Arabidopsis thaliana: one gene and its partner. The protein of the gene in region 1 interacts with the protein of each later gene in a pairwise test. Each region holds a gene or a part of one and is shown on either strand. Other genes may lie near its edges. The genes, in order: MAD1 and SUF4.

The links.
Region 2: the proteins of MAD1 (region 1) and SUF4 interact in a two-hybrid assay, tested with the Arabidopsis thaliana proteins (one study listed by BioGRID).

The regions. Positions count from the first base shown.
Region 1 is NC_003076.8:20,277,120-20,293,890, reverse strand, and holds MAD1 (mitotic checkpoint family protein), read right to left. Parts: upstream 11,781-16,771; 5' UTR 11,587-11,780; coding exon 11,392-11,586; intron 11,316-11,391; coding exon 11,216-11,315; intron 11,116-11,215; coding exon 10,955-11,115; intron 10,871-10,954; coding exon 10,673-10,870; intron 10,576-10,672; coding exon 10,483-10,575; intron 10,378-10,482; coding exon 10,261-10,377; intron 9,679-10,260; coding exon 9,431-9,678; intron 9,082-9,430; coding exon 8,910-9,081; intron 8,214-8,909; coding exon 8,103-8,213; intron 8,019-8,102; coding exon 7,815-8,018; intron 7,561-7,814; coding exon 7,398-7,560; intron 7,111-7,397; coding exon 7,020-7,110; intron 6,924-7,019; coding exon 6,854-6,923; intron 6,541-6,853; coding exon 6,412-6,540; intron 6,329-6,411; coding exon 6,290-6,328; intron 6,206-6,289; coding exon 6,116-6,205; 3' UTR 5,807-6,115; downstream 1-5,806. Other genes in the region: CLC-C (chloride channel C), read left to right, coding at 1,748-1,953, 2,453-2,653, 2,850-3,027, 3,139-3,401, 3,713-3,982, 4,105-5,236, 5,313-5,402. UniProt on the Arabidopsis thaliana protein: Required for the execution of the mitotic checkpoint which monitors the process of kinetochore-spindle attachment and delays the onset of anaphase when this process is not complete.
Region 2 is NC_003070.9:11,035,026-11,049,444, forward strand, and holds SUF4 (zinc finger (C2H2 type) family protein), read right to left. Parts: upstream 8,749-14,419; 5' UTR 8,569-8,748; coding exon 8,375-8,568; coding exon of another isoform or gene 8,371-8,374; intron 7,924-8,370; coding exon 7,823-7,923; intron 7,588-7,822; coding exon 7,458-7,587; intron 6,992-7,457; coding exon 6,582-6,991; intron 6,489-6,581; coding exon 6,346-6,488; intron 6,233-6,345; coding exon 6,035-6,232; 3' UTR 5,660-6,034; coding exon of another isoform or gene 5,588-5,659; 3' UTR 5,250-5,587; downstream 1-5,249. Other genes in the region: UFO (F-box family protein), read left to right, coding at 1,155-2,483; AT1G30960 (GTP-binding family protein), read right to left, coding at 2,730-2,814, 2,901-3,040, 3,134-3,308, 3,403-3,561, 3,895-4,040, 4,148-4,237, 4,434-4,952; AT1G30972 (Plant thionin family protein), read left to right, coding at 9,646-9,885; AT1G30974 (Plant thionin family protein), read left to right, coding at 12,006-12,245. UniProt on the Arabidopsis thaliana protein: Sequence-specific DNA binding factor that recognizes the 5'-CCAAATTTTAAGTTT-3' sequence. Recruits the FRI-C complex to the FLC promoter. Required for FRI-mediated FLC activation, but has no effect on the expression of MAF1, MAF2, MAF3, MAF5, UFC and CO.

The DNA of each region.
Region 1 (16,771 bases):
TTTTCCCTCTATATTTATTAGAGTAAAATCATTTTTAATTCCACACTCTATACATCATTCTAAAACACAGTAAAGGATATGATTACTCTATATATATGTGGAGTAACTCTAATGTTTACTCTATTCTTTTTAGAATAAAATATAATAAAATGATACATTTGAGAAAACCCCTACTCTATTTTAGAATTACTATATTCTAGAGTAAAAAACATACATTGGAGATGATGGTCTTTTAGCTAGATAGGATTTAGGAGCTTCCGCTTGATCAAAAAAAAAAAAAACAGAGAGTTAGGAGCTTCCAAACAAAGTTCAACTATCGTGAGTACATTAACTCATTGCGGATGTTAATATATCTTAGTTGTGGCTTTCACCATTATACTCAAAATAAAAGAAGTGGAGACACTAAGATGTCGACTGGCCTATCAAATGTTGAAAAACCATCAAAACAAAGATCGAGTTGATTAATAATTATACAGTTGTGGCAGATTTTAAAACTAACCCCACAATCTATTAAAACTTGAGAGTGTTCCTTGGAATGAATTCAACATGTGTATTACAACACAATCAAGAAATTAATTCGGTAGGAAACCATGATTTTGATGAGACAATAAACGATTGGATCCGATCAATTTCCCCATAAATTTTTGCAATAATAAAATATGTCAAGGTCAGGTTCCATAACTAAAGGAAAACAATATCTGCATTTCTTTATCGTGTTTCTCCATCTTGCATGAATAAGAAGAATTGTTAAAAAGTGAATGCATACCTTGTTGATCTAATAACTAAAAAAAAAAAAAAAAGAGAAGGATCAACTGATTTACACCAAAGACATCTTAATTTGATTGGATCTAGCCAGTAGCCACCTCTCATAAAAGTTTAAAAGACTTTCTAACCAATAGATGTTGTTTTTTGTTTTGGTTTTAATGTTAAATCCAATAGATTTTGTTCTTCTCTTGAATTGTGTGATGTTTCAACAAGTCTGGCAAATACACAGTGGTTCGTATAATTGGACGATGTCTACCCTAGTTTGGGCTCATTTGGTTTCTTGTTGAAATCCAGTTTTGGGAACTAAAAATCATTATAAAATTTTAACAACAAAATTTTCATATCTAGAAACTAAATAAACACACATGAGAAGTAAGATTTCAAAAATATCTGTAATTGAGTTAGAATCAAAACAAACTTTACAAGATCATGTGAAAAAAATATACATATATTATTTTTATATAAGTATATCGGACACAGTTGTAAAATTTGAGAGAAATTATTTATGAAAAATCAATTCAAAATAATATATATAAAAAACAAATAGTTTTTTCCCCCATAAAATATCACGATTGTATACAAATTTGTTGGGCAAAAACAATACTATGAAAATTTTCATAATTAGATAATTTATTTATGCAAGTTTTTTTTTGTTATTGACTTTTTTATTTATTTAGAAGAATATATCCTTATGAAAATCATAACAAAGAAAGAGAGTTTAGTTTTGCCTAAATTAGGATCAAATAAAAAAACAAAATTCCTGACCCATACCACTCTACGACCTCCCTCAAAAAAAAACAAAAAAGAAAAAAAAACAATAAAAAAATCGACTTTTTAGCATCTGCTTGAGCGCGAGAGGTTCATGATTCCAGGAATCTCGTGCCCAATTATATAGCTTTCCATTTCTGTGGCTTTGTAATCTGATCGGAAATCGAAAACAAACAATTTTATTTTCTTAAAAAAACAAGATCGTGGAGGAGAGATGGATGATCGGCACGAAGGAGACCATCATGATATAGAGGTTGAAGGAGGAGCTTTACATGGTTTCGAGAGGAAGATATCTGGGATTCTAGACGATGGATCTGTCGGATTTCGACAGCCTCTTCTCGCTAGGAATCGAAAGAACACAACTTCTCAGATCGCTATTGTCGGAGCTAATACTTGTCCCATCGAAAGCCTTGATTACGAGTCTGTCCTTTTTCTCCCTCTTCTCTTTTCTTCTGCACATAACTTGATGTTTCGTTCTTTTTTCTGGATAAAGTTTTTAACTTTGGCAATTAGACTTTAATATGCTTAAATGTTTTCGATTAGTTTTTAAACTTCATCTCAAATTTGATTATGAGTCTATGAAGTTTTGGATTATGTAACATTTTGGGTCCCATCCCATGTATAATTTTTAAATCATAATGTTTTCATTTTTAATACTTTTGGGTAAAAATTGAAGCTTTTAGCTTTTGAGAGACATCATAGCCACTTCACCTAGCAATAGGTATGCTATACAATCTATTAGATTGAGAAAAGTGCAAATCTTTTTGGGGTCTTTATGATGATGCAATCATAGTTTCAGACTGAATTTGACTTTTTGTCTTTGTGTGTGTCTCCTACTGGTGTCTTGCCTAATTTGGTGTGAATGATTATAGCTTATGTAAACATATCAGGATCTTGACTTGGGATTTTTATTTGGCAGGATCTTCGAAAATGATTTTTTCAAGCAAGACTGGAGGTCTAGGAAGAAGATTGAGATACTTCAGTATACGTTTCTCAAATGGGCGCTTGCTTTTCTTATTGGTTTAGCTACTGGACTTGTTGGCTTTTTGAATAACCTTGGTGTTGAGAATATAGCTGGATTTAAACTCTTGCTCATCGGTAATCTCATGCTCAAGGAAAAGTAAGTCTAGCTTTTGTTGTTTATCTCTGCTTCTACGCCATTTTTTAGCACTTTCTATCCTGTTTCAGTTACTGTTTATTCACTGATTATATCTAAATTTCTTAATGGTTAATACTGTTATGAGAATTAAGGCTCACAGGGATATATGTGTGGATCAGAATGATAAATGACATCGGATGTTTCTCAAATACTGCAGATATTTCCAGGCATTTTTTGCATTTGCTGGTTGTAACTTAATTTTGGCAACTGCTGCTGCTTCACTCTGTGCTTTTATTGCTCCTGCGGCGGCAGGATCTGGCATACCTGAGGTTAAAGCATATCTCAATGGTATAGATGCTTATTCAATATTAGCTCCAAGCACCCTCTTTGTTAAGGTAAGATCCCCAAACAACTTTCCAAGCAGTCTTTGTTCATCCTGAATTTAGCATTGATGTCTTTGTTCATCTCTGTGGCCTTTTCTGATACGAAATATTTCGTATTGGTAGATCTTTGGCTCTATATTTGGAGTTGCTGCCGGATTTGTAGTTGGAAAAGAAGGGCCTATGGTTCATACTGGTGCTTGCATTGCTAATTTACTTGGACAAGGTGGTTCCAAAAAGTACCGGTTGACTTGGAAGTGGCTCAGATTCTTCAAAAACGATAGAGACAGAAGAGACCTGATCACTTGCGGGGCTGCTGCTGGTGTAGCAGCTGCCTTCCGTGCTCCAGTTGGAGGAGTGCTTTTCGCCCTTGAAGAAGCTGCTTCATGGTATTTTCTGTTTCTCTCTAACTCCTTATAACTAATCCAAGGAGTGATACCTTATGCAAGTCTAGTCATTGTAGTAGACAGACTCTGAAAGGGGAAGCTTCTCCCCAGCTAGAAGTCTTAATGCAAAAGTGCAAGAAGGTCACCATGTTTGTCTAGTTGAAAACATAATGTATCCAACATGACTTCTTTATGCAAATGGAAGTTAGTGAGCGAGGAAATCTAAGTGATACATAGTGTAGAGTTTAGACGGTTTGCGTATATTGCTATATCCATTTGGAAAAGATTATGTCTCACTTTTTTAATATCGTTAGGTGGAGGAATGCCCTTCTCTGGAGGACATTCTTCACTACCGCAGTTGTAGCAGTGGTCTTACGAAGTTTGATTGAGTTCTGTCGCTCTGGGAGATGTGGACTGTTTGGGAAAGGAGGTCTCATCATGTTTGATGTAAACTCGGGACCAGTGCTATATAGCACTCCAGATTTGCTAGCAATAGTATTCCTTGGAGTTATTGGTGGTGTGCTTGGAAGCCTTTACAACTACCTTGTGGACAAAGTCCTCCGCACATATAGCATTATAAACGAGTACGTCATTTCTCAACAAGTTAACTCTTTCATAAAGTCATTTTCCAACGAGTTACTCTTTCATAATATCATTTCTTTGCCTCTTTTCGATTTTCTTAATTTGTTCTTTCCATAACTTGCAGGAAAGGTCCGAGATTTAAAATTATGCTTGTAATGGCAGTTTCCATTTTGAGCTCGTGTTGCGCATTTGGTCTCCCATGGCTTTCACAGTGTACTCCATGTCCTATTGGCATAGAGGAGGGAAAGTGCCCTAGTGTAGGTCGATCCAGCATCTATAAGAGTTTCCAGTGTCCTCCAAACCATTACAATGACCTTTCCTCCCTACTTCTCAACACCAATGATGATGCAATCCGTAATCTTTTCACATCCAGATCTGAAAATGAATTCCATATCTCTACCCTTGCCATCTTCTTTGTCGCAGTGTACTGCCTTGGCATCATAACATACGGCATAGCCATACCCTCTGGGCTTTTCATTCCTGTCATTCTTGCTGGAGCCTCTTATGGACGACTAGTGGGTAGACTGCTGGGTCCAGTATCTCAGCTTGATGTAGGTCTGTTTTCTCTGCTCGGAGCTGCTTCCTTCCTTGGAGGCACAATGAGAATGACGGTCTCTCTATGTGTTATACTGCTCGAACTTACAAATAATCTCCTAATGCTGCCACTGGTGATGCTTGTACTCCTTATATCAAAAACGGTTGCAGATTGTTTCAACAGGGGGGTCTATGACCAGATTGTAACAATGAAAGGACTGCCTTACATGGAAGACCATGCAGAGCCGTACATGCGCAATTTGGTTGCAAAGGACGTAGTTTCTGGAGCTTTGATATCCTTTTCGAGAGTTGAAAAGGTTGGGGTAATATGGCAGGCTTTAAAAATGACAAGACATAATGGTTTCCCTGTAATTGATGAGCCACCTTTCACAGAAGCTTCTGAGCTATGTGGGATTGCCTTGAGATCTCATCTCCTTGTGCTTCTCCAAGGGAAGAAATTCTCGAAGCAGAGAACAACTTTTGGTTCACAAATTCTGAGAAGTTGCAAAGCCCGTGACTTTGGTAAAGCAGGGTTAGGTAAGGGGCTCAAGATTGAAGATTTGGATCTAAGTGAGGAGGAGATGGAGATGTATGTTGATCTCCATCCCATCACTAACACATCTCCTTACACTGTGCTTGAGACTCTGTCTCTAGCTAAGGCGGCTATTCTTTTCCGGCAACTTGGTCTTCGCCACTTGTGTGTGGTGCCTAAAACACCAGGGGTCAGTCTCTTTCTCGCTCTCTCTTCCTCTCGCTAGACTTGTTTATGTTTCTAACGCGTATGTTTTCGTATTGCAGAGACCGCCTATTGTTGGAATACTGACAAGGCATGATTTCATGCCGGAACATGTCCTGGGACTCTACCCTCACATTGATCCCCTCAAGTGAATAAGGTTAGCCGTTTAGTCTTCGTTGTTGCCTGCATTTGGTTGCTCTAATTGTTTTCTAAATCCAATTGGCACTTGTTCTTGCAGGTAATAAAGAATGGAGAAACAAGTACGTGAGAGTTCTCTAAAGATCTACAATGTAATAATATGTGAATATCAAAAAATTAAAAGCCCAGATGACCAATGTCACTTAGGCATTTATTTCAATTATTCGTTGAGATTGATTATGGAAAAGCAGGGGAAGGATGATTGTGTAATGAGGTGATACAAGTTTTTTTTTTTTGGGTTTTGGTTTTCACAACATTTATTCAAAACAATAAATAAAAACTAAACATGTAATTATATTATAAGTCGATATCAATTTTGCTCTAATCTTCTTTACATGTAGGTAGTCTGTGTATTATTTGTGTTTTAAATTCATGGTTATATAAAAATCTGTTTGCTTGATATTCAAGTGTTACTGTTTTTGGTGACTATAAAGTAATAAACGCATAATCAGAGAATGACATTAGATATTCTTTCTGAGTAAATCGAAACTAGTTTCTTTCATACCAAAATAGAGTTACTGACACCACAATTATAGCAGACATAACGAACCAGAGGTAGACATAGATAAGGCCAGTGTTTTAAGCTGCGGCTTTCGAGTTTCAGTTTCTATTCAGCAGGCTTTAGAAATATACAAAACACAGAGTTGGAAATAAGGACGCAGTGCTCTCAATATAGCGTCCGACGGTTGAATGATTCCATCGTTAAGTTGGCTGTAAAAGCTGGAATCGAGTTGAATTTCCTGATGAATATTTCTATCTGCAAGAAACACACAGAATGAGTTTTTACACTTCACTGAGAACACTGCGCTTATGAAGGAAGAAAACTATGTCTGTACTTTACCTGCTTCGCTATGTCGCCCTGAGAGGCATACTCATTGTTCTGAAGGAATTAAATCAGTATCAGTTGATTAACTGATTCAAATGCAGCATATCAAAGTTATACAATTTACAAGAATCACTTACTAGAATACTGGTGTTTCCTGACTCGTATTCAAACTCGAGTTTTTCATCATCACTTTGAGCATATATAGACTGGAGAGTAAACCGAGTCACTGGGATTCCATTGGGACGCTGATGTTCGTCCATTACAATCTGCCAGAGTTTTCAAAAGGAATTCACAAGTTTACAAGTTCTGTAGATGAATAAGACTCTTTGATCATCTATCTACACGAATAACGGAAGGTAAGGAAAACTATAGATAGCAATAGCTGAATCCCTCTTTGCAACAGAAACGCGCAGTTCATAGACCGTAAAAAATGGACAAAAGTACGAACATTACATTTTACAATGTGATAGTCAACATTCAGAAAACTGAAATATCCAGAATCATTGCCTTCAGGGAACCATTGTAATGCTAAAGAATAAAATTTGAGTGCTACGACATAATTATGAGCAAGTGGCATACCTTATAACCAAAAAGCTCACAACAAGCCCTTCTAAACACGGAAATTCTATCAGCAAAAACAGTTTTGTACCTGTTTCATAATTCATAGGCTCCACATATGTTTTAGTATGGGAAATCAAGGTCATATTTGCACAAAGGACATGTTAAACATTTATCAGTAACAAACCTCTCTTCACGTTTTTCAAGCGTAGCATTTTGCTCTTTTAGTTGAGCAATCTTTCCAGTTATATGAGAGTCAACTAGCTTCCCAGCATCTCCTGAATATTCATGAAAAAGAATTTACAGTAAAGCATATTTAGTAAATAAGAATAACATTTTTGAAACACTACAATATTTCTTCTCAAGTCCTCCGGAGGCAGATCAACAGAAAGATTTTGGCCCTCCCTTTTATTCTCGGAAACATAGAATATGATGTAGAGAATAGGGTCACAGAGAAATTAAGGTATGCTTCTCCAGTGAATTTTGTGGTGAGAGTAAAATTGAATGGTAGACTTGTAGCAAACTCAGTATCAAAAACAGGAAAGGTCGACAATCAGAAATTTACCAGACTGGCTCTTTAATTCTTCAACAGCTTGAAGTCTTTCTTTTGTCTTCTGTAACTCAGCTTGTAAAGCCTCTATTGTTTGTTTTGCCTCGTTTTCAACACCAAGAGTATTCACCATGCGCAAAACCCTTGTATTTGCGGCAGAATAATCACCATGACCCAGCTGCCAAATATATGTTACTGTTCAGATCAAACTCTAGGGTAGAAGTTAGAGGTCCTAAATAGCATTTCTATTCGCTTTTACAATAATAAAATCTTCCATGAAACCTAAGAAAAACATAAGATGCAGGACATAAAATTCGCCATTCACCCTTAAAAACTTTTATTATTCATTTCGACCATGGCAGATGAAAGTTCCATAAGCAAATATTTTCTTTGGCAATCTTTTTTACAAGCACACATCTCTAGCATCTGTACCTTTGACTCCAGTAAAGAGATCTCAGAGCGAAGACGATCACTATCCCTTTCCAGCGACTTATTCCTCCTTGCTTCATCAACTAGTTTCTCATTTAGAAGTTCTATTTCAGTACGTTGACGATTATTGACATCCTTCAGTTGATTTAGATCCTGCTCTAAATCCTTAATATAGTTCTCCTTCTTTGCAAGAGAAGATTCAAACCCCTGTATATATAAGCAAAATAAGCTTTATGCTTCCAACAAAAAAGAAGGAAAATCTTCAAAATAAGAACTGTGTTATTCTAGAACCTGAATAAGGGCTCCATCTGCGGCTCCAGACACAGATCCTTCACTGTTTGACTTCCTTAATTCATTAACAACAGCTTTCAACTGTTCTTTCTCCTCCGTGACCAAAGTGAGCTTTATTACAAATTAAAGCTCTGTTAGTAATAGTGCAACAAACTGATAGAAAATTATAAAAAGTTACCTCCAATGAGACACTATAAACTTAATTCCCTTGAATTGTGATAGATTCATGATTAAATAAAAAGTTGTTTGCAACAAATTCTATACTACACACATTATCTCTTATCCTGAAAGGACACTATATTATGGATAAATCAACTCATCATAAATTCGTGATAGACTCATGTTTGGATACGAAGGAATTTGCACCAAAATCTAACAATTGAATACACTCATTAGGAACAAACAGACTTTCCCCACATATATAGAGATATTAAATCTGTACTAATTGATAACAAACCCAACGTGAACATCCAAAAATACTAGGGATATTATCCTATGAATATCGTCTCTAACTATATTACTTCTATCAGCTTCTTATGAATGCATAGATCAACAATCAACATGAAATACAGAGCTGAGCTAGTATATATCCAAGCAAAGACAGTGAACCTAGAGAAACCAAGCAAACAATCAATAAACAAGAATAATGAATATAAAATGATGAGCATTTGAGTGTCACCAATTGAAAATGCTATCCTTTATCTCTCGAGAATCAAAAATCAACTTAAGAGGCTTTAATTGATGCCAGCAAAATAAAAGTGCATTTGTGACCCCTTACAGAGCACCAGCAACAATTTTCAAACTTACCATTACTTCAATTCTCTTCACGTCTGTTTTGAGAGCCTCAGATTTCTCTTTCGCTAATGCAGCCTCACTTACAGCATTCTGTCTGCCAAGTTGTATAGCCTCCAGTGTCTCCTCCAGTTGTTTAATACGGGTACTTGCTTCCCCAATCTTCATAGTGCTTTGAACCACCTCACTTCAAAGGCAGAAACACAAGTCACTAGGAAGTATCATAGATACATGTGTTAACTCAGAGTGCTTGGTAAACTAGAAATCAATACTCTAGATGCTCACAGACACATTAGACCTGCTAGACTAGCAAGCCAGAATATCTGTAAAATATAAAGCCATATCTGGACAAAGTGGTGTTACAGATGTCTCTGATAAATACTATCTAGTTCACCTATAAAGTCAGGAAAATGCCCCGTAACAACTACCTCAGTCTCTCCGCACAGAATATTTCATGGCAGGCATAATTATTTGAAACAATATCAGAAGAAGACTCTAGTGAAAAGATAAATTCTGTATAGATCATGTTGACATACTTCTGTAGCACCGAGAATCTCATAACTATGTCATCAGGACAGGACACACCAGGAATGTCATTTAGCAATGACTTCCAAGAGGACAATTCATTCTCCAACTTTTCCATGCTTAGCTGCAAGTCATGAAATTTTGATAACTCTGACTCTGCCCTCTCCCTACGGCTTTGTTCTTCTAATAAGTTCACATTCAACAACTCCGCATCTAAATGCCGTGATTTTAACTTTCTAGCTTCTCGCACTTCAGCTTCCTGATACAATTATCAAGAATCAAAATCGACAAGAAAAACAAAAACTAAATAGATATTACATGGAAAGTATAGAAGTCGAAAATAGAATCTACAAATAGTACATGTCTTCAAATGATGAAAAGTATGTGAGTCGAATTTACGATCAAATTAAAATTTGACTTGCATAACTAGTGTTACATGAAAAATACATCATTCTATATTACCTCACTTTTCTTGAAAAGTAAACTCTTTTACTTATGAATTGTCTTAGATAGCCTAAGTAAATAAGACGACCATTTTAAGAAAAAAAATTTAACGAGTGTTTTGAGTAAATTTCAAGTGTTTAAAAACTTGCATAATCTCTCTCCGTGATTTGCTGCTTATGAGAGTAATCAACAGAAAATAGAAATCATTGATTCTGGGTATGTAATGCAAAGTTTCTCATGGTAATCAAGAACGAGTACAGCTTCTATTGGTGAATAAAACAGAGAGTTATGATCAATGTCCTGACCACTTTCATACTCATTTTCAATAAATGATTCATCTTATGTAACAACTTTGTAAAATCATTACTCGGGTAGACTAAGAACTGGTAAAACTTACATAGCGTTTAAGTTCTTCCTGAAGATGTTTAACCAATACACTGTTATCTGAAGAAGATGCTGCCTCCGAAGTGAATGACGATAGCTTCTTGTCTACTTCAGTCTTTTCTTGCAAACACTGCATAAAAAGAATCATATGAGAAAGCAAAATAAATTACCAAAGCAAATGATGACTTATGACTGGTGTTATTATTATCTAAGATGCACGTCAAACATAGCTTACCTCGTCAAATATCAGTTTAAGATGCTCCAGTTGTGATCTTAAAAGATTTGATTCCGTCTCAGCATTTTGTGCCCTACATTGCATCCTTTCAAGCTAAAAGCAAAGGAAAACAGGTGCAAATACGATAATTGCATGAGAAACCAAAAACAAAACTTCAGTCAAGCTATCAAGTTTCTTAATCGATACTTACATCTGCACCAATCCTAGCCACAGAAAGCTTTGCTTCTTTACCCAGTTGAGCAATATCATTGTTGAGACGTTTCTTCTCCCTGTCCACACTTCCAGATAGCTGAGTTAGTTTATCCTCCAAAAGTTTAGCTTTTTCCTCAGCTGTTGCAGCAGAAGACTCCGCTTTCTTTCGAAGGTTCATTTCATTTTGAAGTTTTACCTATAAGGATTCAGTTAATGATACTGGCACCAATGACACCAAGTAAAACGAGAAATTTCAAGTCAATTTAATAGTTAGATCAACCTCCAGTTCATGGCAAGATTGTAGTTCTTTGGTATACCGCTCTTGAGAATTGTTGATCTCCATAAGAAGCTGCTCCTGAAGCATTTTCTCACGCGCTTTAGCAGCAGCAAGCTCTTGCTCTGAGTATAAGAATTTATCTCGAAAATGCTTTCTTTCAGCATCTGTTGTAGAATATCAAAATCAAATTCGTTAACAACAGTTAAAGCAGAGACATTCGGAATCAAGACCTTTGTAATTTCGAATTCACAAACGATCTCTCACCTGCTTCGGTGAAGTTGGCATTAAGAGTCTGTAATTTGGTTTTAGATTCCTCAACTTGTTTCTCTGCTGTGCTCAAGGCATCTAGAACATCAGCTTTAACCTAACAACAACAAGAACAAACCTCAGATTCGCTAATCTTCGTGAGGGGATATAGATAGATAGGTATAAGTAGTGACCATTTGGCGGCATTGATAGGTGCAAAGATGTTGATCCGCCGAATGATCATGAGAAGTTTGTAGCGGAGCAGGAGCAGGAAGAGGAGAATCTTCGTAGATGATTAGCTGATTGCCGGAACCAGTAGCGCCGGTGGGGAAGGGGCTTTCTCCGGCGTCGGACCTGAGCCTCTTCGGCTGCGGAGTTCTCAAAATCATGTCTGCGTCGAGAAATTAGGGTTCCGTTCTCCGGGAAGCGAGAGAAAAATTATTAGGATTTGAAAATTGAAATTGCAGAGGCGCCACTTTTTTTTCTCGAGTTTGATGAGAGAGCGTAAAGACGGAGGAGCTAGGCCGTGGAAGAAACTGGAAAGGCTTTTCACAACTATTAAATTATTAATCCTTTGTTAATATGTGTCTATTTTGATATATGATTTTTTGCTTTGTTAATTAATGTCTTATACGAAATTTTGTATGAACAAGATGATCAAACTGTTGATTATAATTTAAATCTTTATAAATTTTGGGTTATTAGATTCATCCTACTATATTATTTGGGAAGTACATTTTAAATATAACTTTAATTTTTGTAAGTAATTACATAGGTATGTCATTAGAAATAAAATTTTAAAGAGTAAATTAATTTATCTCTTTGAGGATTAAAAAGTCAAATACTAATTTAATTAATTAAATTTAATTAAAAACGAAATACATTATTAATTTCCAAAAATAATAACCAATCAAAATCAACATATAAGATTTGATATCTAAATTTTAATTAATTTAATTTAATTAGAAAAACAAAATACATTATTAATTCCCAAAAAAGTAACCAATTAAAATCAACAAATTAGATTTGATATCTAAATTATCATATTAATTTTTTATTAATTATTATAGTTTACTTCTCATCTTTATATGATTCTATTTTTGCCGAAAAATAATATCATCATTATAGAAAAATAATTAGAGTTTTTTCGCATATGCCATAATTTGAATTTTTAAAAACGAATATAAACTGTTCAATACATGAAAAAATATTATAACGGGTGAAAAATAGATTTAAGAAAACTTTCTACTGAGTAACATGTCATAATTTGAAATATTTATATTCAATTTCATACATATTATATTGAAAATTTATAATCTTATATACTACAATAATTAATAACATATTAGATGTGATTCAATTTTTAATACAAGCTGGAAAATCCTAGAATTGACGGGATTAGATCGATATTAATACAAGATGGTATACTACAGGTGAAACTCTTAAATTAACAATCAAACTACAAGTGTATAATCTTAAACACTAAACAATATAGATAATATCAAAAAATATATACAACTCACAGTTTACTATACATTTAAAATCAAATAAAATAATATCATATATTTTTAAATCATCTTTACAATAAAAGTTTTTAGTTGAACTAAAATATAAGCCTACCTGCGGTATACTGCAAGTTAATATCTAGATTACAGGGCTTATTGGATCTAAAGACAACTCATCAAAGATTTCCTAAACTGAAGCAAAATATACTGAATATTCAAATATCTATCTGTTACCAAATTATAAACAAATAAGTTCGTAAAACAATTTAATATTTTATATACGAAATCAACTAAATCTTAATCACATAAAATTAGCACAAAAAAAAAGTATTCAACAATTAAAAATTTATCAAATCTCTATATAAGTTTTGATACTATATTCGAATAAAGTGTAATATACCTTTTCAATTTGTATTCTTTAACTAATTTAAGCGAACTAATATATTTGCTAATCATATACCTATCAAAACCGACTATCGTTTCTTATCTCTATAGTATATTTGCAAGACTTTTTTGGTGGATTTGGATAAAAGTGCATATCGTCCTACTATATTATTTGGGAAGTACATTTTAAATGTAACCTTAATTTTTGTAATTAATTACATGACAATGCCATTAGAAAAATTTAATCAAAAACAAAATCTTTTAATGACATCATTAAGATTACCAAAATCATTTAACGACAATATTCATCTCTTAATTATAGGGCTTATTGGATTTAAAGACGGGTCATTAAAGATTTCCTAAACTGAAGCAAAATATACTGAATATTCAATTATCTATCTGTTACCAAATTATAAACAAATAAGTTCGTAAAACAATTTAATATTTTATATACGAAATCAATTAAATCTTAATCACATAAAAATTAGCACAAAAAAATATGGTACATTCGGGTCTATAGTAGTTTTGCAAGACTTTTTTGGTGGATTTGGGTAAAAGTGCATTCGGGTCATATGGTACATTCCCCTATTAAATAAATATGGTGCACTCCTATGTTATTAGCTAAAATGTTTAGATTATAATTCAGACTTATATCATAAATAAAATCAATATTAATAAAATAAATGGCTTTTTGGCAAGACGGATTTGGAGGAACGGGTTTTTGAATCAACATTAATAAAAAGTAAAATATAATTAATCCACCGTTTCAATACAGGTTAAATCTTTGATTTATTATTTTTAATAAAAAAATAATATATATAAATACTTAATAATAATTATAAACTGTAAAAATATAAATATTTTATAAAAATAAAATTTGCAAGTTTTAATATATATTACTTTTAAAAAATAAATCATCTCGCGGTATATTAAAATCTAGTACTCTTATAAAGTCATTAAAAGTGTAGTGTTATTCAATTAAAATAAAAAATCTTTAATTGTTAATAATTTAAATTATTATGTTATAATATGTAAGCTCTTGTAATCAATTTGTAAGAACCATTGTATCATATTCATAGAACTAAAACTCTTTTTTATTTAAACATTGTTAATGTCATAAAATCGTAAGCATTATTTGGCTGCTTCTTAAATTTTTTGGTATTTTTAAAATTCTAATGGAAAAGTTTGAACATTTTTTTGGCTAATTTTAAAAGTTTGTGATTTTCTTGGCCAATTTCTCAATTTTCTGGTATCGATGAGCATTTCTTCTAGTCCTCTTCATAGCAAAAGTGGAAACCTCTATTATCTATATATACATTTTTTTCAGCCATTTTAATAAATAAATCCTGGATTTGGACTTATTTACAACTCAATGCCATTAGCATTAAATCTTTTTTCCAAAATAATTAATTTTATTTTAAATTCTTGATTGAAATTGTCAACCACATTATCAATCAAATTTAATCCAAACAAACTTTAAGTCAATCCCTTAAAATTAGCATAAACATATTTGTTAACAATATTTTAAAACAAAGTTTTTTGTTAAAAAAAATATTATTCTTACTAAATATTTTTTGTTTAAATATATAAATCATGTATTTGAACTTATTTACAATCTCATGACACTGACATTAATTATTTAGGAATGAAAATATTTAATTAAAAATTTAAATCTTCTAAATCCTTGCTTTTAGAGTTATTATGTCATTACCTAAAAGGTTCAAAATATAAAAAAAATAAATATTATTATTTAAATATTAAAAATTTATAAAACATTATTAATATTTAAAATTATAAAAAGTTTAATATATCATAAATTTTAACATCTTTATATAATATATAGAGTTTAAAAAAATCTCAATTCTTTCCGTCATATTTTGTGATTCAAAATTTTAAAAATAAACATATATTAACCAATTGGCAAAAAATGTGTGAATTTGAACGTCCCACATCGACTAAAATATTTAGACAATGATTCATAAACATATCATAAATAAGATTAACATTAATAAAATAATAGTTTTTTTACGGGACGGGTTTGGCGAGACGGGTTTGGAAGGACGTTACTTAATAACAATTGTAAATTATAAAATAAAAATATTTTATAGATAGATACAATTTAAATTTTTTTATATATACTAACTTTAAAATATAAATTGTCTCCGCGGTGTACCGCGGGTTAAAATCTAGTTCTGTAATAAGAATATAAGATTATTACTACATTGAAGCATTTCTTTTTCGGCCATGGATTAGTTCGGTGATCTACTTGTAATCCTCATAGTTCTGCAGCTTGATATGGGTTTTCTCGGCCTAAGACTAATAATTGGCTACTACTATACACATCAACACTACTAATTGGGTCTAAGACTAATTGTCTACTACTATCCACATCAACACTACTAATTGTTTACTACTACTTATTGTGTACTACTAAGTTATTTTGAGCACTCTCAAGCTATCTACATCAACTTTTTAAAAAAACTCTCAATAGGTCATTAACTCTTCAGAATTAGCCACGTCATCCCAAAAAAGTAGAAAGAAATCGCCTCTTTCTCTCTCCATAAGAACGTATCATTCTCTCCTTGGTTGCCACATGGGAGGCAAAGCTCAATTTCACGGGTTTTCCTAAATCAGTTTTTTTATTATTAAGGCTCTGTTTGTTTCATCAGTCAGATGGATCATCTCGATGGAGATGAGTTTTGATGTTCGTTTAGTGCAAAAAACGGTTCATTCAGATGATCCATCCAAATGAATCATTTGGATGAGTTTGAAAATTTAGGCTAAATTTTGAAACTCATTTGGCTGAACTTAATTGGATCATTTGGATGTAGATGATTCAGTCAAAATTAACAAATGACAAAAATACCCTAATTATTTTAATTGATTATTTAGATGTATTTTTTAGATAAAAACAAATAGACTTAAATCTTATTTTCCAATTATTTTTTAAAAAAATAAAAAAAAAATTTCCGCTAAAACCGCAAAATCAAAATTTTCCGATAAAACCGTAAAATTCCGTTTTCCCGCTAAAACCGTAAGAAAACGTTTTCCCGCCAAAACCGCAAAATCGTTTTTTTCCCGCCAAAACTGTAAAATTTCGTTTCCCGCCAAAACCGTAAAAACACGTTTTCCCGCCAAAACCGCAAAAATCATGTTTTTCCACCAAAACTGTAAAATCATTTTCCCCCGCCAAAATCATAAAATCATGTTTTCTCGCCAAAAACGTAAAATTACATTTTTCTGCCAAAAACGTAAAACGTAAAATTACGTTTTTCCGCCAAAAACGTAAAATTCTGTTTTCCGCCAAAACCGTAAAATTCTGTTTTCCGCCAAAATCGTAAAATCGAGTTTTCCCGTGAAAACTGTAAAATTACGTTTTCCCGCAAAAACCGTAAAATAAATTTATAAATGTAAAAAACTATCATTTAAAATTTATTTACTTTTAAATTTTTTTTAGATTAAGAATTAAAATTAATATGTTTACAAGTAATAATAAAAATATAATTAGATGAAAGCATTGGTATTTTAGGTATTTGTATTATTACAAATTATTTGAATGGAGATAGAGATAAGCAAACGAACAACATGTCATTCGGATGGTCCAGTTAAAGGAACCTACTAAAAATGAAAAGAAAAAGAGTCGAATAAATCATCTAGATGAACATGTTGAATGGATTAGTTGGAT
Region 2 (14,419 bases), on another chromosome or scaffold:
TATAAAGTAATTCTAATTGGCTTGATATAATATATAAGTAAAAAAATGATCTTAATAATCTCTAGTTTTCTTGGGTTGATCTCCACGAGTACAATTTGACTGACCATTATAGAAGTTGAGAAGCGTGCATGTAATAAAAGTTGTATATTACAAATTAGAGAGGAAAAAGAAAGAAAGAAAAAAGATTTGAAGATGTGATCAAGTGTGAAAAGTATTGGAGTAGTCTCCAAATTAATAATTTCGATGCTGGGCATTGACAAGATAACTCTGAAGCTCTCAACTTTAAGACCATCACTTCCTCTGCCACCATTTTCACGTTTACCCAAACACACACATATACAAACAAAATTTTGTTAGTCAATAATTATCACCAAACTGGGGTTATAACAAGGCTTTTGGATACTTGTGCTTGTTGATGTTCTAGGTTCGTATGATAACAAAGTACATCCGTTATATATATTCGAAACACACTTTAATATTAAAAATATATATCCAATTTTCTTGTGAAATTTAGATTATTTGGAATTAAACCTATTTCTCTTGTCTTGGCCACTTGACCGGTTTAGTTTTTTAGACGTATTTTATTATTTCTGTTTAGAAAATAACAACATATATCAACTGATTTTTTACTTCCAATCTCTTTTTGTCAGCACACAAATAGAAAAACGTCTGTAAGCTAAGCTATCAACTAAAACATTAACATATATAATCTTTTACGTTGATAGAAAATAAACATAAATTTCTGAGTTATTTTTTTTTTGGTTGGTGTGTCACTACTTACTTACTACTATACCTTTTTAACAATAAAGAAACACTATTTCTTTTTCTATTCAATATAATATATGTTTTCTATTTGTATAAATCCATTACCTTTGTTTGTTTTATACCAAATGTTCTTTATATATAAGTATATGCCACCTTACTCTATTGAAGTCAAGAACATATCAAAAACCCATGCAAGAAGCTCACAGAGAAAGACCAAACACTTTTGTCTCTTTCTTCAAAACTTTTACATATGATCTTTGCCTCTTTTCCTACAATGGGTTTTGCATAACTTTCACCAAAACCCTCCTCAAAAGCCCTTCACATATTCCCAACACAAGAAAATAAACTCTAAATCCACTTTCACCAAATCTTTTCATTTTTCAGCTAAAATGGATTCAACTGTGTTCATCAATAACCCATCTTTAACCTTACCTTTCTCTTACACATTTACCAGTAGCAGCAACAGTAGCACAACAACGAGCACCACCACAGACTCAAGCTCCGGTCAATGGATGGACGGTCGGATTTGGAGCAAGCTACCACCTCCTCTTCTTGACCGCGTCATTGCTTTTCTTCCACCTCCGGCGTTTTTCCGGACACGTTGCGTCTGCAAGAGATTCTACAGTCTACTTTTCTCCAACACCTTCCTCGAGACATATCTACAACTACTTCCTCTCCGACACAACTGTTTCCTCTTCTTCAAACACAAAACCCTAAAGAGTTACATTTACAAGAGAGGAGGAACAAACGATGATGATTCCAATAAAGCTGAAGGCTTTTTGTTTGATCCTAATGAGATCCGATGGTACCGTCTCTCTTTTGCTTATATCCCTTCAGGGTTTTATCCTTCAGGATCATCAGGAGGGTTAGTGAGTTGGGTCTCCGAAGAAGCTGGTCTTAAAACCATTCTCTTGTGTAACCCTCTTGTCGGATCCGTGAGTCAGTTGCCACCAATATCAAGGCCAAGGCTTTTCCCTTCGATAGGTCTCTCGGTAACACCAACCTCTATTGATGTTACTGTCGCTGGAGATGATCTCATATCTCCTTACGCTGTGAAAAACCTCTCATCGGAGAGTTTCCATGTCGACGCCGGCGGATTCTTTTCCCTCTGGGCGATGACTTCTTCTTTGCCACGGCTTTGTAGCTTGGAATCTGGTAAGATGGTTTACGTGCAAGGCAAGTTTTACTGTATGAACTATAGCCCTTTTAGCGTTTTGTCCTATGAAGTTACTGGAAACCGGTGGATCAAGATTCAAGCTCCGATGAGGAGATTTCTCAGATCTCCAAGCTTGTTAGAGAGCAAAGGGAGGCTTATTCTTGTAGCAGCTGTTGAGAAAAGCAAGTTGAACGTTCCCAAAAGCCTACGACTTTGGAGTTTGCAACAAGATAACGCCACATGGGTCGAGATCGAACGGATGCCTCAGCCGCTCTACACACAGTTTGCAGCAGAAGAAGGTGGAAAAGGATTCGAGTGTGTCGGAAATCAAGAGTTTGTAATGATTGTGTTAAGAGGAACCTCGTTGCAGTTGCTGTTTGATATAGTGAGAAAAAGCTGGCTGTGGGTCCCACCGTGTCCTTACTCCGGCAGTGGTGGCGGTAGCTCAGGTGGCGGTTCAGACGGAGAGGTCTTGCAGGGTTTTGCTTATGACCCGGTGCTTACTACACCGGTGGTTAGTCTTCTTGATCAGTTAACACTTCCATTTCCTGGAGTCTGTTAGTTTTTAGACTTTAAGATAAAGAGACTACTTGTGGTTTCCACTTCTGACGTTAAGACTGCTTGTTGTTTTCTCAAAATTCTGTTTCTTTTATCTTATTACTGTCTGTATGTAGTAAGTTTATATTTCTAATGTCAAATGTCTAATCTTTGACAACATGTCAACAACATATACAGACAGATTTCTAATTGCGTACAATCCAATCCTAAATCCATCAAACTCAAAAACATAACCCTTGGGAGAATGGTTTCACTTGAGCTTAACCTGGAGAATGAGATGAACTTTGCGGTTCATTATTCTCCTGAGTTCTTCATTGGCCTCAATTCCTATCCTCCTGCAAAATTAGCATCAACATAAGATCATCCTTGAGTCATTGATTAGTCAAAAGAATGAATTATGAACGATCTTGTATGCTCTTACCCGATCTTGCAACCGCCCTTGCCTACAAGAATCTTGCGTTGGCTAAGTTTAGGAGTGATGAGATGCTGTTCAATTCTAAGAGACCCGTCACGCAGCTCTTTCCAGTCCACTAGACGGTGCTCCAGACCATATGGTATTTCCTACAATTTGTTTCAATCAATCCTGTAATTTGTCATCTTGGAATAGACGGAAACTGATACAAAATGTTATACTAGTAGAGGTTGTATTATTACCTGATGGACATGGTCTAGTAATCTCTCCCTAACAACTTCAAGAGAAATGTTCTTCAAGACTTCTTCACTCATCGTGAATGCATCTTCTTCCCATGGTTTTTTAACAGCCTGATCCATTAAGTATTGGGAAAGATCTTTCACTCCTGATCCCTTAAGTCCCGATATCATGAAGTATCTAGAAAACCAAACAGGGAAAAAGCACATTTCAATCAATTCGAAGACTTCCCCGGTAATTGTTTTTAAACTGAGTCTGGTATATATATATCCACCTTTCATATGCCGGAAGATCTTGGAACTCCTCAGCAACCTTTAATAGATCCTTTTTCTTCTCAACCAGATCAACTTTGTTCATACATAAAACGCGCTTTTGTTTCGGATTTTCTTCTTCTCCCATGTATTTGATCAAGCGTACCACTCTTGAATCGGGACTAGATAAATCAAAGAGAAAACAGAATTCACAAACTACAAAATAAGTCTAAGAGAACTCTATTTCTACTTGTAATTAATGAAAAACCACAGTCATGATGCCTTCTTCAAAAGAAAGAAATAGATGTGTCTTCCCATCGGTTTACGGTTCTCAAGCTTATGGATAATCTCGGAGAGATGAACAAGATATGAAAGATATCGAAACAGAGAAGCTAGAAATAATAATCCCACCCTAAGATACCCCACTTGATGATGATGCTCATAACCATACTACTCTCAGTTCCGAGATAACTTATGTAAAGCTAACAAAGTACAAAAACTAGTAAACGACTAACCTCATGAGATGCCTATGGACATCAAACATAACAATGAGGACATCAAACAGGTCAACAGAAGTCCAAGCATTTTGCACACGAGCCTTGATGTCTTTGTAACCATATCCGCTTTTCTTCAGCATCAGACCCGGAGTATCGAAGAAACACTGCAAGGTTCACAAATATCAAAAATTCAATCTACGAATGGCTGATCTCCACAACTAACCATAACGAGTAGTTTACATATGCAACAGATATATAAGAGAAAACTTACGACTTGTGTATCTCCTTTTGTCAATACTCCTAACACTTCATGTGTCGTCGTGTTAGTCTTCCGTGAAGCAGCAGCAACCTTTGTTCCAACCTACACTTGGACATAACGAAACACTAAGCATAACTCTCATCAAGATGCAATAAACAAAGATACACAATCACTTCAAAAATTGCAACTTTAGGACTAATCAAGAGTCATAGCAGCACTACATAAACATATACACAATGTCTCAATTGATTCTCAGAGACCAAATCACAGGAATGTGAAATTAAGGAAATGAGCCAACCATGAAATTAGTCAGCGAAGATTTTCCTGCATTAGGTGGACCGATGATGCCGACATTAAGCGACTTCTGATCTTCTTCTCTAACTTCACCTTCACCAAGTTCTTCATCTGGTGACTCTAACGCAGCCTCTAAGAGAGCCTTAGCGAGAATCCTTGACCTATCAACACTATCCTCATCATCTTCAGAACTCTCTTCTTCTGCAACTTTCACTTTACCTTTCTCTGTCAAGTTTCCAAAGAAGGCTTTGTTTACTCTTTCTCTGTACCCTTTATCCCAAGTTGCTTCCTTGGGCTTCTTCACGGAATCTACATTGGAATCGTCGATTGGGTATTGACTACTATCGAAAACAGAGTCGCTGCTTGATCCGTCTTCATTGATGGAAGTGGGTTCGTCTAGATTCGGCTGCGCTGAGTAAAATCGGCGGAGAAAGTTTTGTGCTTGATGGGGATTACGAGGTGTTGTCTTCGTCGTCGTTCGTGAGATGGAAATTAGTATACGTAGAGATCTAAAAGCTTTCATTTTTGTAACAATGGCGAAGTAGCGATCTCGGAGAAGTACAGATTTGAACGAAATGTAACAGAAGAGGCTTCCGAGGGTTTTAGAGGTTTTGATGTTTTGGGGAAGTGGTGACAAAGTAACTCAATATTACAGATAGGCCCCTCACTTTTTGACAAATCCAACGTAGTCCCTAACTTTGTATTCGATATAATTACTACTAGCAAAGTAGCAATACAACAAAAATTCATACTAATCGTATCAATTGGAGTTTGAATATACAGTTAATGGAAGGAATATTAGTCAATTTTGTTTTGGCAAAATATTGAACAACATGGTGCAAACATTTTGGGTGAATCTGTATAATATAATACTTTGATCAATTCAGAAGAAAAGGAGACAAAGTTCTTCCTCCAAGTCTCCAACGACCAAAAAAAAAAAGGACTAAACTTCTGAGAAAAAACATCTCTGAGATCCCTAAACAATGTAATGGTAAACTAACTCACCTGGCTAAAGAATACAACAGATGGAAAGTTAATAACTTAAAATCAGATCATAAATTCAGTATCTGAACAAAAGTGAGTGAAGACTTGTTGTTGTAACAAAGCCTTCATCCATATCGCCTTTTCTTTGACGCTGGTTTGGTTTGGTGCCAAATTCTAAAACGCCATCCGCCCAGCAAGCCTACTCTCTGAGATTCGTCTGTCTATCGCTGCATTTATCGAGTTCATCTGCAAACCAAAAGAAACAAACTTGGTGTTGAGTTAAGAAGTTGGATGCTTTATTTTGAAAGAGTTAAGTGCGTATTGTTTTGGTTCCCCAAGGCAGTGAGATTGTGCAAAGGTACCAAACTTTGCAGAGTTAAGAATATAAAAAGAGCTGACCTGGGTTTGAAACCAAACCTGTAGAGTATGATCTTGTGGAACCAATCACCACATTTTTAATACAATACAATAGACAGGAAATATAATGAAAAACAAACAGATACAAACGCTATGTTTCTCACTACCTACTATTGCAAGCTACAAATGATACCTTTCGAACATTGATTCAAAATGCTCAAGTTTCTTGCCTAAGTCCTTCTTATCATATTCTAAGGGAAGAAATTATAAACTGAATAATACGGTGGTACCTCTTAGCACAGAAACAATAGGATCTGGAACAGAAATGTATAAATAAAGCCTACCGAATGGGTTAGACTTGCAAAAGCAAACTCTTCTTAACTTTAAAAAGGGTAAATCAGAACTTACCTGGCTGGTTTCATCGTGCACTTTGTATTTTGGTAAGGACATTCTTCTTTCCTCCTGCAGATACAGACACATTGCGTCAGATTGGAAAACCAAATGGTTCATTACTCGAAACTTTTCCAATTGTAACCATTCCAACATGATGCATAAGAAATTAGGAATAAACTAACCATAGACATCGCTTCATCATCCCATACAAGATAGACCTCATTAGGCTGATTGCTAGGAGCTTTGTTTGCAATTACAGGAGGTGGACCAATTGAAGGACCGCTAGTGTTTGGGCCAGAGGCATAAGAATGAGCATTAGTCCCACCTACGGCAACAAAACATGAAAAAGATATTACAATTTGATACAAAACAGCTAAACCAAATGTAAGTCAATGATTCTACGAACTTGGGATTGAACCTGGAATAGAATTGTTAGGCGGATAAGCATCTGCTGATCCTAAAGCATCTGCATGAGATGGTTGCTGAGCCCCACCAACAGGCAGAGGAGCAGAAAATGGTGGAGCTTGAGAAGGAATGCTGTTATTCACAACAGGGAACAGAGGTTGAGGAACTGGCATTGCAGGTGATGATGTAGGAATTCCAGGAGGAGTTACTCCAGTGACTGGTGATGGTTGTATGGCAGGAGCTGAGGTTGGAGTTGGAGTCATCCCCATATTTTGAACAGGAAAAAGTGGTTGTGGTCGATACCCTAAATGGGCAGCTGGAGGTACAGAAAGAGCTGGATTTTGAGGATACCATTGTTGCGGACGAGGAGGTGGCATTTGCCATACAGGAGCAGGATGACGCATAGGAGGACCCGGATAATACCTGCTAACACGAAATATTTTATCATGGTCAATAGCCATACATATTACAATATCTAAGATCATGAACTATTTCAAAAAACTGTTTACTACAGGTGTTATTGTGGTCTTGAAGAGGAGCAAAAGAATGGTTCTAGGACAAAGTTCTATCCTGAAAAATCACGAGAACAAGCTAGGGAAACTAAGAACCTTATGGGTCATAGTTGGTTAAGTGCAACAATATCTTAGATAACGATCTATTTCAAAAAATGTTTACTACGGGTGTTATAGTGGTCTTATAGAAGAACAAAAGTAGAAAAGTTCTAGGACAGAGACAAACTAAAGAAACCAAGAACCTTTTGCATCAAGAGAACTAAAAGAAAAAAAGTTCCCCATCATTTAGCATGGATCGGATTTTTAAAAACAGAGACAACATCTAAGAATTCAACAAGTAACGGCCATAGAGAGAGTATAGTATAATTAGTACATACATTGGTCGTGCAGGTACAGCACCAGGTACTTGTTGAGGCGGATATACCATTCCATATGGTCTAGGAACTACACCACCAAGAGGGGCAGAAGGAATCTCAACTTTTGCAACTTTGGCTGGAGGCTCATCCTCTGCAGAAAACATGACTTCAGTTCAAAAGGTACCATATGAAACAAGCAAACATAACAATAATATATAATAACTTTGATAAGGCAAAAAGCCGCATGCAAAATCAAAACGAATTCATGACCACTAGATGCAATAGATCTACAACACTTGATGAAGAGACATACAAATTTATCGCCTTACTTCTCTAAATCAATTGCTCATAATCTAAACAGTACTCTCACTATCTCAAATGCATACCTTCTTCTCCATAATGAGCAGTCAAGACATGGGGTGGAATTCCTTGCATTCCATATATTTCAATATCAGTTGAATCTCGACCGTCTTTAGCATTAGGAACTCTGGTGTGAAAATTGTAGATAATTTCAAAGTTAGTAGTGTCATGGAATCAAATTCCAAATTCAACAGGCAAACACATTGAACAGTACCACAAATTCCAAGAAAAACCTATCAAGCAAAAGCAAAAGCAAAAGACTGTTTCTTTACAAAAATTGCAATCAGAAATTAGGGTTTATGACCAGACATATACAAATTAACCAAACCCATTCAAGAGATAATCCAAAAAAACGATTCAAATTCCAGCAAACATACACAATCAACCGATTCAAACCACAACACAACAGTCACAATTAGCGCAATCTAACAGAAATCAAACGACAATCACACACAACAAGAGCAAAAAAAAAATCAGAACTTGAACAAAGATCATAGAGGCAACAACCCTAATATTCCAAATCAACCTAACACAACAAAAAGAGCCATAGGGAAAGGGTAAAAAGAAAAGGCACATACTTTGTAACATTCTCTTTATGAACCTGAAGAACATGAATCACCATGCCACTAGCTGTAGAAAGCTTCTTATGACAGACATGACACTTAAAGTGCTTAGCTTTCTGATGCTGCACAAGAATCTTCTCATCATCAAACTCTCTATCGCAGTAATAACACCACACCTTCTCTGTAGCTCTCTTCTTCTTCTTACCCATCACTAAATCTTTCTCCTATTTGTTGATTTCAAGATTTGATCTCAAAATTGAAATCTCCAATCTCTCAAAAGTCTCGTTCTTTGTCTCCTTCCTCCGCTCGCTAGGGTTTCTAATTGGTACAAAGCGTTTTCTCGATTTCTTCTACGATCTTCAGATTCTCTGTTTTTTATTTATTTTTACTTTATCTAATGGTTACTATCTTGTATTTATAAGAAAAGGTACTTTCTTGTGTAATATTTCGTAAAGAACCCATAACTCTTGTTTAATTATATATTTTTCCAAAATGCTTAGTAAGTTATATAATGATACTATTAGTATTGGTTATGTTATCCGTTAGGATGGTCAAGTGGTCTAAGAGCAACCTCATTAGACAACTTTTTATAGATGTTTTTAGTATAAATAAATAATAAAATTAAAGACATTTCACTTTTGTTGTGTTTAAAGTGTCTCTACAGAAACACAAATCTCAAACTAAAAACATTCATAATTTTTTTATTATTATTATTTATAGTTTTATATTTAAAGACATCTACATATAAGTGACCAATGTGGATGCTCTAAGGCCTTAGACTCAAGTTTTGGTCCTCGTAAGAGGGTGTGGGTTCAAACCCCACTTCTGACATAATTTTTTATTCTTTCAAGAGTTAATTTTCTTTGTCCAATGAAATCTCAAATTAACTTAATCTCAAATTAACTTAAAATAAACTGTGAGAAAACAGAAGAAGATTAACCAACAAAGTAAGTAATCTCTCTTACAAAGAAACTTTGACCAGAAAAAAGGAATCCATGTAACAGATAAGAAGAAGAGACTATAAGAGCTAAGAATTACATAACTATTAGAAAAGATTATAAATAGAGAAAAAAACAGAAGAAGATTAACCAAAAAAGTAACTAGTCTCTATTACAAAGAAACTTTGACCAGGAAAAAAAAAGAAGAGCAATTCCTATAACAAATAAGAAGAAGAGACGATAAGAGCTAAGAATTAGATAACTATTAGAAAAGATTATAAATAGAGGATAGCTATTCATTATTTCTTAAGTACATGAAACACTTGCAACAACAAAAAAGTTAAAGATATGGGTGCTAAATGGAATTCAATGATTATAATGGTGTTTGTGGTGACAATGGTTATAGCAATGGAAAATGTCAATGGAGAGACGAAAGCTCAATGCCATGAAGATTGCATTCTAGGTTGTGCCACCACAGGAAGAATTCCGATCACGTGCCTTCAGAATTGTTACCGTCGATGTCCCGGCAAACCTCGTCGTACATTAGGTAACCATTTTTCAGAAGGTAAAAACAAACAAACAATCTAACAATTTTGGAAATATGTCAAAGAAAATCTATTTTAATGATTATTGAGATTTTTACTAACTATATAAAATATATTCCCCTTTGTATAAATAAATTTGAAGTAAGTTTGACTAGTGTAATAATAATAATAGATTAACAATGGAATGTTCAAATGATTGAACGGTATGCTAATGTTTCGAAAATGTGGTGAAAAATAAAATAGCAACATAACGTTTTGAAATAGTAAAATTTTGAGATATATTTCGGTAATAAAGTGTTTTAAATCTTAGAAACATCATTGTCACTGTTTAGGTATACATATAGTCCTGAAAATATTATTTTTTAAATTAAACTCAAGAGATTATTTGGAAAAACTAAAGGTTAAAATAATCGATGGTTCTAATTTGTATAGTGGAAGCGCAGAAATAGAAGAGACGATGAGTCATGAATCAGTGTTGGACTCTTGGGACTTTTAAACTAGCTCTTCTTCTACTTTTGTATCCTCCTTATGTAATATGATCATTGTAAATTTGTAACGCTATTAAATAAAATAAAATAAAATTTGTCCCATGTTATAAATTTCTCTTGACTGTAAACACGTCTCTGTTTAACAGTTTAAGACTCCTCTTAGATTCGAATCTCATATTTCATAATTTTGGAAGTGACATGTAGCGGCTTATTGATTTTCTTGATTCATATTTTTTATTTTAGTTATTTCAAAGTGTGATACCTTGTGGATAAAGCAAAATCCATATGACCATATTTACATGAGACAAAAGTGAAACCATCTATGTTCAGCTTCAAGAGAAAAACACTTTGTTTCAATTTATACATTTAAAATAAAACTGCCACTACTACGTTTCTCCTATTGAAGCAAAATTGGCTCTCACTTGTTTTGCCGTTTCTCTGTGCTTAAATCCGAAGCTTTTACATTTTTCTACAACTTGTGCAATGTTTGTTTAATTGTACATTTTAGCTAATGGTTACTCTCTTGTGTTTATAAGAAAAGGTACTTTCTTGTGTAATATTTCGTAAAGAACCCAAAACTCTTGCTTAATTGTATATTTTTCCAAAATGTTTAGTAAGTTACATAATCATATTATTCCACTTCTGGTCCTCGTTAGGATGGCCGAGTAGTCTAAGACTATCTACAATGATTACCTATTTATAACACCCACTTTTTCACTTTTAACACTCCACATTATTTTCTCTCTCTTCCACATCATTATTCAACACCTACATAATTTTTAATCTTACAATAGTTTTGTTTAATAAAATTACAACACCTTACCCCACCATTTTTATTTCATATTTTAACCTATACATTATTTTTGGGTCTAAAAATGGTTTTTTCTGTATTTAAATCAAATGAAAATAGTCTCTGTTTATAGAGAATGAAAATTTATAAAATTTTATATAAATTATATATATATAAATATATATAAATATTATGAAATAATTGAAGTTATATAATTAAGATGAAACAAAAATATTAGAAATCAAAGCAACCAATCAAAATATAACACTTGTCACACTTATCTTCTCCCTTCTACTTTCACGGATGTTAAAATTTATCAACACTAAATTTGCCACATCAGCTACTTTTCAATTACAAAATACCATTATAGTGGAATTTGTTTTTTCACCAGTTGTAAAATGGTTTACAACAAACCATTGTAACTAGTCTAAGGCGCTAGAGTCAAGTTCTGGTCCTCGTAAGAGGGCGTGGGTTCAAACCCCACTTCTGACATAATTAACTTAAAATAGACATACTGTGTGAAAAAACAGAAGAAGATTAACCAACAAAATAACTAATCTCTATTACAAAGAAACTTTGACCAGAAAAAGGAATCCCTATAACACATAAGAAGAAAGACGATAAGAGTTAGGAATTACTTAATTATTAGAAAATATTATAAATAGAGAAAAAAACAGAAGAAGAGTAACCAAAAAAAGTAACTAGTCTCTATTACAAAGAAACTTTGACCAGAAAAAAAAGAAGAGCAATTCCTATAACAAATAAGAAGAAGAGACGATAAGAGCTAAGAATTAGATAACTATTAGAAAAGATTATAAATAGAGGATAGCTATTCATTATTTCTTAAGTACATGAAACACTTGCAACAACAAAAAAGTTAAAGATATGGGTGCTAAATGGAATTCAATGATCATAATGGTGTTTGTGGTGACAATGGTAATAGCAATGGAAAATGTCAATGGAGAGACGAGAGCTCAATGCCATGAAGATTGCATTACAGATTGTGCCACCACAGGAATAATTCCGATCAAGTGCCTTCAGAATTGTTACCGTCGATGTCCCGGCAAACCTCGTCGTACATTAGGTCACCATTTTTCAGAAGGTAAAAAAAAAATAAAAATCTAACAATTTTGGAAATATGTCAAAGAAAATCTATTTTAATGATTATTGAGAATTTTACTAACTATATAAAATATATTCCCCTTTGTATCAATAAATTTGAAGTAAGTTTGACTAGTGTAATAATAATAATAGATTAACAATGGAGTGTTCAAATGATTAAACGGTATGCTAATGTTCGAAAATGTGGTGAAAAATAAAATAGCAACATAACGTTTTGAAAGAGTGAAATTTTGAGATATATTTCGGTAATAAAGTGTTTTAAATCTTAGAAACATCATTGTCACTGTTTAGGTATACATATAGTCTTGAAAATATTATTTTTCAAATTAAACTCAAGAGATTATTTGGAAAAACTAAAGGTTAAAATAATCGATGGTTCTGATTTGTATAGTGGAAGCGCAGACATAGAAGAGACGATGAAGTCATGAATCAGTGTTGGACTCTTGGGAGTTTTAAACTAGCTCTTCTTCTACTTCTGTATCCTCCTTATGTAATATGATCATTGTAAGTTTGTAACGCTATTAAATAAAATAAAATAAAATTTGTCCCATGTTATAAATTTCTCTTGACTGTAAACACGTCTCTGTTTAACAGTTTAAGACTCCTCTTAGATTCGAATCTCATATTTTATAATTTTGGAAGTGACATGTAGCGGCTTATTGATTTTCTTGATTCATATTTTTGACTTTAGTTATTTCAAAGTGTGATACCTTGTGGATAAAGCAAAATCCATATATATGACCATATTTACATGAGACAAAAGTGAACCAGCTATGTTTCAGCTTCAAGAGAAAAACACTTTGTTTCAATTTATACATTTAAGATAAAACTGCCACTACTACGTTTCTCCTATTGAAGCAAAATTGGCTCTCACTTGTTTTGCCGTTTCTATGTGCTTAAATCCGAAGCTTTTACATTTTTCTACAACTTGTGCAATGTTTGTTTTGATTAAAGGTTAAACACATGAACTATAGATGGTTTGATTTCAACCACTCGATGCAAACCAGATTTGGAGGCTCTTGTCATAGCGTAGATCATCAGTTGCTCTGATTGAGGAAAGATGGCTTGCTTATCAATCAATTTTATTAGAAGAGCGGCTGGTTCGGCCTCTCTCTCTCCATGCCTTCTGCCATTTCGTTCGCACCAGATTGTGTATAATGTAGCTTGGAAAACATAACGAGCAATAAAGCTCTCGATCGACTTGATCATGCCATTGACTGGAGACGGAGATAATTAGTGCAATAGTGCTTGCCAGTTCGTTGAGTATCTTGTTTTGTAGATGTTGCTGCATCTAAAGGGAGACATCCTAAGTTTAATTCGACACCTCTATATTAAACTTATGATGTCGCAAGAAGGACTTAGTTAGTTTAACATTAAACCAAAAAAAAAAAAGAAGGACTTAGTTTAACTATTTCACACTATAATTTTTAAAGAAATTTTCACAGAAGTGGCTAAAAAAAAAATTGCTCTCCTGATTTGGCAAAGTGAGATGTGGTTTTCACCATTTGTCTTTTAAATGGTTTTTAGACCAAAATACCCTTAATGGGATCAACCAAACCCCACAGCAGTTGGTTTCGGTTTAGTTTCTATGGTTTAGTTTTAAGAAAAAAAGAAAAAAAAAATGAAACGAAGAAACCAAAGAAGAAGAAAAAGAGGAAGAGAAAGAGATGGAGAGATTTGAAAGAGAAGTAGAAAGAAGTTCAAACTTCATTATTCACTTCTTCATATTTCGACATCTCTCCATTGAACTCCAAAATTGAGGAAGAAATTTCTTGTTTTCAGAGATGAACAAAATGCAAAAACAAATCACAGATTCAAACAATTTAGCTTTTTAAACTAAAGATACTCTAGGTTTACAAGATTTATATATAAATAGTAATTAAAACGTATAAAAATGAGATTTTGAGAAAACAGCTAAAGATGGCCGCAAAATTAGGTTTGCAGAAAAGGATACACAGGTTGAAGATGACTGAAAAATTACAATTATACCCTTCATTAAATTTCTTCTGTGTACGTATATTCAATTTACAGTGTACGTACACAAAGTTATTTAGTCGAACGTATATGGTACGATTTCTAATAAGTCAAGCTATTTTATTACGTATTCTTATATCTCAATAATCTCCATACATACATAATAGTTAAATAGATATAGATGGTGAAATAATATTTGTTCC